Lepisosteus oculatus: one gene and its partners. The protein of the gene in region 1 purifies or fractionates together with the protein of each later gene. This does not show direct contact. Links are inferred from orthologs where the notes say so. Each region holds a gene or a part of one and is shown in the gene's direction. Other genes may lie near its edges. The genes, in order: fbl, snu13b and rrp9.

Evidence for each region.
Region 2: the proteins of fbl (region 1) and snu13b purify together in Homo sapiens (affinity purification with mass spectrometry; 5 studies listed by BioGRID and IntAct, with this or other methods). This does not show direct contact. The link is inferred for Lepisosteus oculatus from reciprocal best matches to the Homo sapiens genes FBL and SNU13.
Region 3: the proteins of fbl (region 1) and rrp9 purify together in Homo sapiens (affinity purification with mass spectrometry; 3 studies listed by BioGRID and IntAct, counting the BioPlex papers as one, with this or other methods). This does not show direct contact. The link is inferred for Lepisosteus oculatus from reciprocal best matches to the Homo sapiens genes FBL and RRP9.

The regions. Positions count from the first base shown.
Region 1 is NC_090722.1:9,619,351-9,623,102, forward strand, and holds the start of fbl (rRNA 2'-O-methyltransferase fibrillarin), read left to right. Parts: upstream 1-1,307; 5' UTR 1,308-1,464; coding exon 1,465-1,474; intron 1,475-3,639; coding exon 3,640-3,752.
Region 2 is NC_090714.1:16,498,031-16,501,782, reverse strand, and holds snu13b (NHP2-like protein 1), read left to right. Parts: upstream 1-1,312; 5' UTR 1,313-1,505; coding exon 1,506-1,508; intron 1,509-2,229; coding exon 2,230-2,350; intron 2,351-2,886; coding exon 2,887-3,149; 3' UTR 3,150-3,408; downstream 3,409-3,752. Other genes in the region: cytochrome b-c1 complex subunit 2, mitochondrial, read right to left, coding at 472-504.
Region 3 is NC_090699.1:53,426,142-53,429,893, forward strand, and holds the start of rrp9 (U3 small nucleolar RNA-interacting protein 2), read left to right. Parts: upstream 1-816; 5' UTR 817-997; coding exon 998-1,078; intron 1,079-2,138; coding exon 2,139-2,227; intron 2,228-3,752. UniProt on the Homo sapiens protein: Component of a nucleolar small nuclear ribonucleoprotein particle (snoRNP) thought to participate in the processing and modification of pre-ribosomal RNA (pre-rRNA).

The DNA.
Region 1 (3,752 bases):
CCGGCCTTCGTCTGCGATCGTCTGAACCCCGGAGACGGGCCTGGACTGCAGGATCGAGCGGGCCTGTTTTAGGAGGCCCTGAGAAGGATGGTTTCATGTTAAGCAGACGGTGCAGCTTCGTGTTTGTACTGGACAGGGCTAAATATCTGTCACCTCTTTAGCAGAATCTACTCTTTGTGCCACTAAACCTACAGTAATCTCAATCCATGATGGGGCTTCAGCAAACAAAACTTATTTCTGCTGTGCCATATTACATTGTCATAAAGCAGTGTCTTTTCTAACAGATTCATGGAGCATATTATTATTATTATTATTATTATTATTATTATTATTGTAGTGCTGTGTTTTAAGTGTTATCCAACAAAGCTCAAGCACAATTCTATTAATCAGGTCTGTAAATAAAAGTATTATTGCTGAAAATGGGTTCCTCCGTGCTGCGATCACCTTGTTCTGGCTGCCTTGATGAAGCTCGGTGTCCCTCACTGCCCTCGTTCGTATCACTGCTTTAATGTGTTTAATGTTCTTCGAGAGAACTTTGAAATATCAGTCTAGTCGAACTGTAAAAATAAACAGTTCTGAGCCACCCTCCCCCCCCGTCCACTAGAGGGCGACCCAACTGCATTTCAAAACACCTAAAACATCATAGGAGAATACTTTTATAATCACATCGCCATCATAAAGAAACTGATAACGATACACAAGAAGTAACCATTTCGAAACTGTAAAAAAGGAGTATAGCATTTAACAATTCATAAACCTATCCCACTGAACAAGATCCTGTTCAGTTAACACTTAGGACTCACTGAGCTTGCGCAGATCTTTGAGGCGGCACAGTAATTTAACAGCACAAAGTCTCATTTGAAATCCATGGTGGAGCTTTTTTAAAAGGTAAAGCGTACTAGGCTTACGTGTAAGCTTCAACTAGAGTAAGACTGAATAAGTTCCGGCCACAATAAGATGTTTTAAGTGCACGGAACAAAAAAAGTTGAAGATGGTTTCAATGGGTTTCAAGTACAGGTTTCGAAGACAAAAAATTCCGAAAAATAACAAGTAATAGGTTTATTCCATGCTGAAAAAAAGAAGAAAGAGAACACAACGTTTCGGCCGTGGAGCCTTCTTCAGGTGTCGTATTTCCAGTTGTATTTCCAAATATACCAAAATACCAAAAGCTGTATTTCCAGTTCCCGAAACACAGCTTTGTGGGGGACCCGAGGTGGAGAGCGGCCTGCAGTGTGTGTCCTCCGAGGTAGGGGGCGCTGTGGGCGACGCCGGCGAGAGGAAGCGCTCGGACGCGCGGGCTTGGAACTTCCGCCGCCGGCCCATGTGGTGCGGACGCAGCACGTGTGAGCAGGAGAGAGAGAGACAGCGAGCGCCCGAGTGCGGAGGACGGAGAGCGGAGCGGCGACACAACTCATCCGATTTCTGCGCCCAGGTCGTTGCAGCGATACATCCCGAGACGCGAACATGAAGCCAGGTAAGCAGATCCGCGATCCTCTGACGCGTTAAAAGGGGGAAAAAAAAAACGACCCGGGAGGTAAAAACACGGAGCTCCGCCGCTCCTGTCCTCCGAGTCTCACCGGGGCCGGAGACAAATCACCCTCCGAAAACAAAACGTGATAATAAAAGGCAAAAATGCCTTCAAGCGCCGTAAAGACCACCCGCTCCGAGTTTGGTGTCTGCCTTGTTCGGAGGCTCCTATTTTCTTAAGTCGCATTTCGAAGTTAAAGCCAGCTGGTTCGTGCAGAAGAGGAGAGTTTCTCGGTGGCGGACGGGGGGTCGTGGCCTGCGCACGCCGGAGGTTTAGGATCTGTTTTAGGCTCATTTTAGTAACTTCCAGACGATTACTTGACGCGGCGTGCACGATTTAGACGGAATTTCAACAGTTCCCCGCTGTTCCTGTTGCCGTGAGCAGCTGGGACGCTAGTTAATGTGTTTGTATTGGGCGCAGCGTGCTGGACTAGTTCGTCGCTCAGTTTGGATCCAGCGTTAACTGATGTTTTGGCTTGGATTGCTGTCGGCCCTGTAGCTCTCTCCTGCTCGTGATTTGAGTTCTGGCGTGAATTTCGGAAGGAAGCGGGTGTCTTTTGGCGTTAAGCGAAGCCAAATGCCAAAAAAACAACAACAACAACAACACAACGATTGCGATGGCCGTTTTCGTGCGAGGGGATCGTTTTCAGTGCCGCGGCCATGTGCTTGGTGTGGGGAGACGTGGGGTCCTTGTGAGAGCGCACAGACCGATTCCTTGCATGCTCGAACTTTTAGAAAAACGTCCGATTTAAACGTGCGCTTCCTAGCGATGTTCCAAAGTCTGTAAAACGAAAAGCGTCTTCTAGCGCTAATTGTGATCGATTACGGATCGGAGAGGATCTCCCGGGCTCGGGTCAGTGTCTCGCAGTTGAAAAGTAAGTAAGGGAAGTAAGAGGAGCCCCTTTAGTCCGTCAGCTTAACAGCTAATTGAACCCAGGACCTTCTTCAGCTGCTTTTAATCGGCTTCAGCGACGTGGCTCGGCGGCTTGTTCCACACCCCTACCTCCCTCCGTGTAAAGAAAAGCGTCCGGTTCTCGCTTTTTAAATGCCCTTTCATGTCGGGTTCATTGGCCCCACGTGGTACATGTTTCGCAGCTGCTGACGGTGATGTTGACACTGGCGTGTCTGTCGAGGGCGAGGCGCACGTGTGCCGGTTTAGTCGGGGTGTTTTACCGCTTCGGTCGGGGTGCCGCACCCGCACAGGACAGCAGCTGCACTGTCTCTACCTGGGACTCGGACCCGCAGCCTGTGCGAGTCAGCCGATGAGTCCGGTGGCCTGGCCGCTGCCCGTTTTAAACTATTGGAACTCGCGCTTTGCAGACCGTTACAGTGTCCAGTCAAGGAGCGTGTCGGCGGTCTGGTCCTGTGTCTAGAAGACAAGTTAGTGAGACAGGAGAAGCTGCCGTCCTGCAGTGTGGTTTGTGGGGGGGTGGGGGAGGACTTGTGCAGCTGCACACTTTGGTGTTGCAGTGCTTCCCTACATCGCTCCCAGGGGTGTCCAGCCCTGGTCCCGGGCAGCTGGAGTGTCTGAGGGTGTTCTTCCCCACTGAGCTCTTGAGGAGCTGAGCCGGCTGAGTGCTGATTTAACTGGGCCAATTGCACAGCCTCTCCTGGCTCTCCAGTCGATACTGCCTTTAAGAGACCTGGAGGGCCAGTCAGTGTGTCTGCAGGCCCTCTAGGAGCAGGACTGGACAGCCCTGCGGACGCACTGACCGGCTCCTCCAGGAGCAGGACTGGACAGCCCTGCGGACGCACTGACCGGCTCTCCGGGAGCAGGACTGGACAGCCCTGCAGACACACTGACCGGCTCTCCAGGAGCAGGACTGGACAGCCCTGCAGACACACTGACCGGCTCTCCAGGAGCAGGACTGGACAGCCCTGCAGACACACTGACCGGCTCTCCAGGAGCAGGACTGGACAGCCCTGCAGACACACTGACCGGCTCTCCAGGAGCAGGACTGGACAGCCCTGCGGACGCACTGACCGGCCCTGCACACGCACTGACTGGACAGCCCTGCGGACGCACTTGGACAGGCCCTGCGCTGTGTGGTTCTCTCGGGCGGCTCTACGATGGGGCGAGTAACCCCCTCTCCTGTGGTTCTCTCCCGGCAGGCTTCAGTCCGAGAGGCGGGAGGGGAGGATTCGGAGACCGAGGAGGAGGAGGAGGATTCGGAGACCGAGGAGGAGGAGGATTCGGAGGCCGCGGACGAGGCGGGTTCGGGGAC
Region 2 (3,752 bases), on another chromosome or scaffold:
TCGACCGGTGCTCTGTGGACGCTGTTCATGGAGACCATCCACGTTACAGCGAGACCTCAGGTGGAGATACGAGTCAGATGGCTAAAACGGGAATACATAAATGACCTTCACTACAGCTTTCTTAGAGAATCCACAAACCAGTACTTCCGACACTCCAGCCCACCGTATCCCTTCAAGGCAAACCGCTTCTTGTGAACATGTACGATTTGGCAACGCAATTTTAAACAACTCTGTTTAGTTAGCCTGGGTCATGATGGAATACATTTCTTAAATACTTTTTTAATTTCATTTACAGCTAATGACACCTCTCTGAGGTGCTGTACTCCGTGCAATGTCGCTCAACACAGGCCGGGTTTCAACGACACAGCTAGTTTTCTTCCGCCACAAATCAAGCTGATTCTCAGGACAGATGCAATGGACCCAAACAATTTCATTTAAATCGGCAATTGTCGGACATAAGCAGACTCTTACTGAAATGTGATTTAGACACCGAATCCCCTTCATGACTGACTGTCTCTCCTTCAGCCGCTGCAAGAACACAATATGGCCGCCGGACGTCCTACCCAGGCGCCACCGCGCTCCTTTTAGCCAATCAGAAGACAGATAGCGTGGCACGGTATCACTGCGGGGCTTAATGTACGGCTCTGAAACTGGGCTCCGTATCCCGCCATCCTGGCTCGACCGACCCAGCTTGTCCGCTTTTCTGTCGCTCGTCTTGTCTGTATTAAATCACAATGATGATCAGTTTCCTAAAGTCTTCTTCGAAATGTTCAGTCGATATTCACTTTAAACAATGTCTTATGTGTTTGCCCGGGGAATGGTGGGATAGATTGAGTTACGAAGCGCATAGTTTCCTCATCAATTCAATTCAACATGCTTTATTGACATGACCGATGAGTAGAATGATAGTGTTCATCTCTGTGCACTAACTGTCCCGATGCAACTGCACTCAACAAAACAGCAAGACTTAAATGTATATACCTCTCTAGCACATGATGATGTGATTTCTAAAACTTCTGATGCATTTTAAAGCAATGTTTTTTCCATATAATATATTAGTTTCAACTGTGTCTACCCGAGGTAGTCTTATTCGGACGTTTTCCGTGCATACTTTCAATACTGTAAAACAAATAATTTAAAATGTGACTCCATACATCTTAAGCAAAAAGAATTCGATTATTCATTTCTTGGTCCCAATAGATATTTTCATTACAATAGCAGAACCAACGTCAATGCGCTCATGTTTCCTCGCCGTTCCTTTTCAAGGGTACGCAGAAATCTCCTGGCGTACTTCCGCTTCCGAGTGTATTAATGTGCGCGCACATGTCTCTCCTGTGGCATTGTGGGGGTCAATAAACGCTGGCGGGACGTTGACGGGCTGCTTAGTGCTGTTGTGACCACCACCGAAAAACAACATATTTGTGAAAGGTCCTCTGTGAAGCACACGCCGAGAGGACACAAGAATTAACCCAGATTGTCCGTTTGTCTGATCTCCTGCTGTAGCGATGGTAAGCAAGCGACCCGGGCGGTTAATTATGATCCCTCCCGGCGCGGAGAGGCGGCCGACAACCAGACTCCCAGCCCGTCTCTCGCACGGCGTGTAGCCGTGGCTCTCTCTTGGCCGAGCCCTTCCGGACTCCGGTCCACCCTGCTCGTCCACCGCCTCGGATCGGGCCTGCGTGGCCGTGAACCGTGGGGCAGCCGGGGACGGGAGAGGTGGCGTGTTTGTGCGGGCTGCTGGAGCTCCGAACCACGTGTCTCGGTGCTGACTGGATGGTCGTGCTTGAATTGTCGGCTAAGTACAGGCGATGCTTTTTTTTGTGTGCTAACGAATGGCTTGGTTTTTCACAGCGCACTAAAATCGGACTGGTGGGGTTGTATGCGGTGGATCTTGGTTTATAGCGCTCTCCATCACGTGCCTTTTAAAGGCGTTTTGAAATAGGCTGGGGTTTATTACGAATCTTGTTGATTCGAAAAACGAGGGGTGGTTCAGTTTATTAATGCGGTGTTTATTTGTCTCATCACTAATCCAGACTAGGATTGGGTTTACGGTTCTGCAGCGATCTAGTCTACTTTTATGGAATAAGTAAGAGATAGTGAAAGCGTGTGATTATAAGTGTGTGAGAATGTTGTCCCAGTAGTGTTCATTAGTGTTGGACAGGATGAGCCGTGAGTGCACGAGGAGAATTCTTAATCGAGGGTTCTGACACCCGCTTCCTGTCTCCTCAGACTGACCCGGAAGTGAACCCCAAGGCCTACCCCCTGGCTGATGCCACACTGACTAAAACCATCCTGGACCTGGTGCAGCAGGCAGCCAACTACAAGCAGCTGAGGAAGGGAGCCAATGAAGGTCAGGAGGCCCGTGCTTTGATCTAGCTTGACTGCTAGATGGTTCTTTGGCTCTCTTTTTTTTTAACTTGCATGAACAGAGGGGAATAAAAGTTTGGTTTAGTACCACAACCACTCTCTTCAGGGGCCTGACTGTGGGTCTTTGAGCTGTGGAAAGTGCATGGCCCTAGCAGGTCAGCTGGTATGATAAAAGTGGAAAATGCATCTCCTTTCATGCATGGTCCACAAAGACAACTGGACAATGTCGGAGAACAGGAATAGACGATAAAACTGCCTGCGTCTGTCTTAAGGACGTATGTTGTTGCTGCGTTCACATAGCCAGCAGCAGCAGCAGTATTTTGAAGCGTCCTTCAAATGAGCCTTTAAATCACATTAAGCACATCCAGACTTTCAGGAGCTCCTGGCATTGTGCATCATAAATTTGATGTTTTTTTTTAACTTCCCACTTCATTATACTGCAAGTGCAAGGAATTGGGTACATTTAAATGAAAACAACCTGTTGTGCTTAAATTTCTGACTTGTTTTTCCCCCCACCAGCCACTAAAACCCTGAACCGCGGCATCGCGGAGTTCATCGTGATGGCCGCCGACGCCGAGCCCCTCGAGATCATCCTCCACCTGCCGCTGCTGTGCGAGGACAAGAACGTGCCCTACGTCTTCGTGCGCTCCAAGCAGGCCCTGGGCCGCGCCTGTGGCGTCTCCCGGCCCGTCATCGCCACCTCCGTCACCATCAAGGAGGGCTCCCAGCTCAAGCCCCAGATCCAGTCTGTGCAGATGGCGATCGAGAGACTCCTGGTCTGAGAGGGCAGAGTAGCACTGTTGATTTACTTTAGCTTGGCCCACAAGACGAGGGTGAGAAACGATGTTCTTGAAAGTATGTATATAGTTGGGGAGGGATGAAGTGAATTATCCTCTGCCCCTGGTTCCCAGAGTGAATGGACTTGGCTGTTGTCCTGTCATTCCAATCTGTTTACAGTATTTGTCAATGGAATAAGTGTAACTTGGGGAAAAAAAAAATTGGATGCTGTTTTTTTTTTAGACTATTAAAAATAAAATTTAAGTTTCAGTGTTGCAGTGAATTTAAAACAAAAATGATCAAGTTTTAGAGGGTATGACATTTCGAGATTCAAACTAAAGATTCAGTAGCAATGCAGCTCTGAAAGGTACCTGATGACCAATGGACCTTCAACTTGGGGGAAAATCTAAAGCCACATCTGGAAGGTAAGTTTGGCAGATGGATTGCAGTGGATTGGGGTATAAGTGAACAATGCCTTTAATGACTGGAATCTGTCCAGTTCCAAAGTGGACCATGCATTTCCTACTAATCTCATCTTGCATCAGGAAGACGAGTCTCGTGTGCCGCTCTGCTGGACTGCTGGCTCCACTCTGTTACACGCAGAGGTG
Region 3 (3,752 bases), on another chromosome or scaffold:
TTACTGCCTGTTTTTGTAGCTTCATTAATTTGCATATAATTGCATATAATTGACTGATGTAATGATGTAATGTGTTTCAAAGTCCGAATTTCACAAAGAGCATTTTAACATGTACAAATATTCGCGAGTGTATATTGTTTTACCACTTCTACATTAGTGCTCCTCGAAGTCTACATTTTGAGCAGTTATACTGCAGTAGTAACTACTGTATGTATTTCTGCTGTCTTTTTTACAGTGCCTGAAACACGAAAGTTATCTCTTCGATTTTTTTTTATTTCATTGCAACAGCATTGGGACATTTTCATTCTTTTTAACTATTATAAATGCCCCCACCGCCCCAACTCAAGACCGAAGCTGACAACCCTCTCCTATTCTCAAACCCGAGATCATTGCAAATCCCAACACATTATGCACATCAAACTAGGTTAGGACGAACTCCTATCACGTAGTGTTACTATTTCTATGGACAGTGCTAAAATTTCAGATTTTTTTATGAATAATTCATAACATTGCACAAGGAACGAAATCAGCCTGGAAATCACTTTCGACTACATTTTTATTTGTTGGACATTTTACAATCAAAGAATTCAAAAACATCTATAATGTTTAACAAGTACTGTCCAAGAATTTGCTCGGTATTTCCCGGAACTGTGTTTCTTACTTTTCGTTTCTCACGGTTTCATTATTTCACCGGATGCATTTCCGCCACAACCTACCCTTAAATGTGGTGTAATGTATGCACCAATCGAAATCTGGTAGGTGGGAAAGGGCACGTTGCGATTCAATAGAAAAACGAAGACGGAGTTAAAGTATTTAATATCCAATCAATTACCTGCTTTACTGGAAAGGCGTGGTGAGTGAGGTCCAGTTTGAATGCACGTGGACGGTGCCAATGTGGTTCTAATGTTGATTAACAGACTGAAATATTGAATTCCAACTATTTTACTTGGTTTTTTTTCTTAAAATCGTTAAATAAAGAATCATATTGTCTGGAAGTATGTCTTCCTTCTTCATCAAGAAGAAAGTTAACGCGAAGCCTACTAAAAAAGCGGGCAGTACTAGAGTTATTAAAAGGAAGGTAAGTTTTTTTTGCTACTACTTGAAAATCCCGGTTATGTTTTTATTTAATCTAGATTGCAGATTTTACAGGGTAGTCAAAATAAACAATTTGCTTTTTAAAATCCTATCAAATGAGCACCTTCCAACTATGTGTTATTTCGTTTGGAGTGCACAGGAGGAAAACGAAAAGAAAAACATTAAAATGGATGTATGAATTCTTAAGCGGCGAATGCACTAATATCTTCTAGTTTAGGTATACTTCACTCACTCATTTCAAATCACTGTTGTGCTGTGAAACCGCTATTGCTTGAAGTTAACTGCGAATATCCAGTATAAATGAAGCCAACACAAATTCTTAATAAAAACAGGACGTTTCAGATGCTGACCGAGAGTTATCAGCAATGCGATATATGACCTGCTTGAAACGCATGTTTTGCTCATTGCCTATACATTATTTCAACTGGAAAAAATGTTTCGTTTTTATATAGAAAGGTTCTACAAGGACAGAGGTCTTGAGTCTTCCCATTCCCTCGCCTGTGTTTGCTGATCTCAGAATGTCGTTGCATTGCACAGGGGCAAAATCTATATTGCGACATATGCAATAGCTATGCCTTGGTTTCTATTACTTGATAGAGATGGGTCATTAAACATCTGTGGAATTAGCTCGGACGATTTGTGTCCTGTAGAGCTCACAGACAAGTGAAGAGGCACATTGCATATTCAGACTGTACGAGAGCAATGGGGGCAGCATCTTCGATCTTGTGTCCATGAAACGCAGATGCACAGCTTGTATTCCTTCCGATAGCTGAAGCCCTCCCTATTTTGAGGATTCCTGTTGGTGACAAACGTTGATCGGCATAATGAAGTTACATGTGTCTGTTCAACCAAATTCAAATGACTCTGCTACAGATTACAGTTTTCCTGATGATAACTTTATGAACTTGTTGCTGTTATACGTGGTTTCTTCGGATGCTCAGCAGAGTACGCTTATGTAGTCTGTATGTCATACAGTACGTTACAATGGATGCTTCTAATTCAGTTACTTAAAAAATAGTGTTTTTTGTTTCTCATCCTTTAAGGCTGACGGTGATGGTTTGAGTAAAGGGCGCGCCAAAAAAGTAAATTCTGGAGCTAATGAAGAAATTTCCAGCGAGTCAGAGACAGAAGGGTGAGGTGGATCATTTAAACCTAGAACTATAAGCGGCAGAGTTGGCTTCCAAACAAGTTCTGTCACTTTCAACACAATCACTGTAATCTTTTGTACCTCGAATCAAATTTACTTTGAACATTTACAATGTTCACCACTGATACTAGCCTGATGAAAATGTTGCTGCACCCATAATAAACGGCTTCAGTATCTTCTCCAGAAATACAGACTAAGGTAGAAGGGTCATCTTTTCCAGGCATGTTTTATATACATTCTGAGAAAAGACTTGTGAAAATATCTTGGTATAATATTGTTAGACAAAAGTAAGATTAAAAATAAATTGTCAGCGTGAGTGTTATAATTGGGGATATCAATATTTATCCTTATATAAATAGGTTTTCACCATGGTTATACCCACCTCGGTTAATTATAATTGACTGAAAAAATTGCCACACTGTGAAGATTACGTAATATTTTGATTATCATCAGCACAGCAATTTTGTTATGTAGAAACAAAAGTTTGGGAAATGTGAATCCTATGATGCACGCATGGTGCATAAAAGTTTGGCCATTTTTCAACAAAAGCAGTTAGTTTCCAATTTCCATCCAAGGCTGAACTTTACAAAATGATCAATACAGAAGTGATAACAGAATGACCAGTTAACACAAGTTTGGATTTAATTAGGTTCACAGATTTTTAAACAGAATTCTAAATTTGTGTCAGGTTTTTTGCATCAAATCTAAGATGATGTGTATTTGGATGTTTCTTGTTTTGGCTAAGTTTCAGATCAGTTGATTTACTGGGTCTTATGGAATACTGCTCAGGCTCAGGCCACCTTTTTGTTTTTCCTGCGTTATTATTGCCAAATTATTAACTGGCTAGGATTGTAACTGACAATTCTGAAGTTCACTGGCCTTAGTATTTTTTCACAAGGAAAGCAGACCTGACTACTGAATTCAGAATTGAATTGTCAGTTACCATTGTGCCACATTTTAATTTTATTGTCCCCAGGATTATACTTCTCAAGTTTTGTCTTAACTGCCAAATAAGTTTTTGAACAATAGTAGTTTGACATTTACACAGTGTGTTCTCCAAGGCCTAGCTTTGTAAATCAAGTTTTTCTGAAAACTCAAATCCCAATATGTCAGGGATGATTTCTGTCAAATGTATAATTAAGTAGCTAAATCAGTGTAGAACAGATTACGTCTTGAATATGAGAACAAAAAGGTCTTCATCCAACCATCCTGGATTACTCTGAGAACATTTTGCTTAATTTATTTTAATTGTAGGTGTGCTTGATTGGTAATTATTAAGTGTGGTTATCAGGTCAGTTTTCAGAGAGGAGTGGTTTGCAGTATGGAACATACTTCATCAAGAGTTTGGTGACTCACTGTGAGTGATAAGCAGATTATCACAATATAATTTAAACCAATATAGTTTCAAATATGTCACCGATTTGGGTGTTTATTAAATTTACCACAGTTCAATCAGTGCAGCCGTTCCCAAGACTGAGATTTTGAAATAATACAAGTATTTTTCAAACTC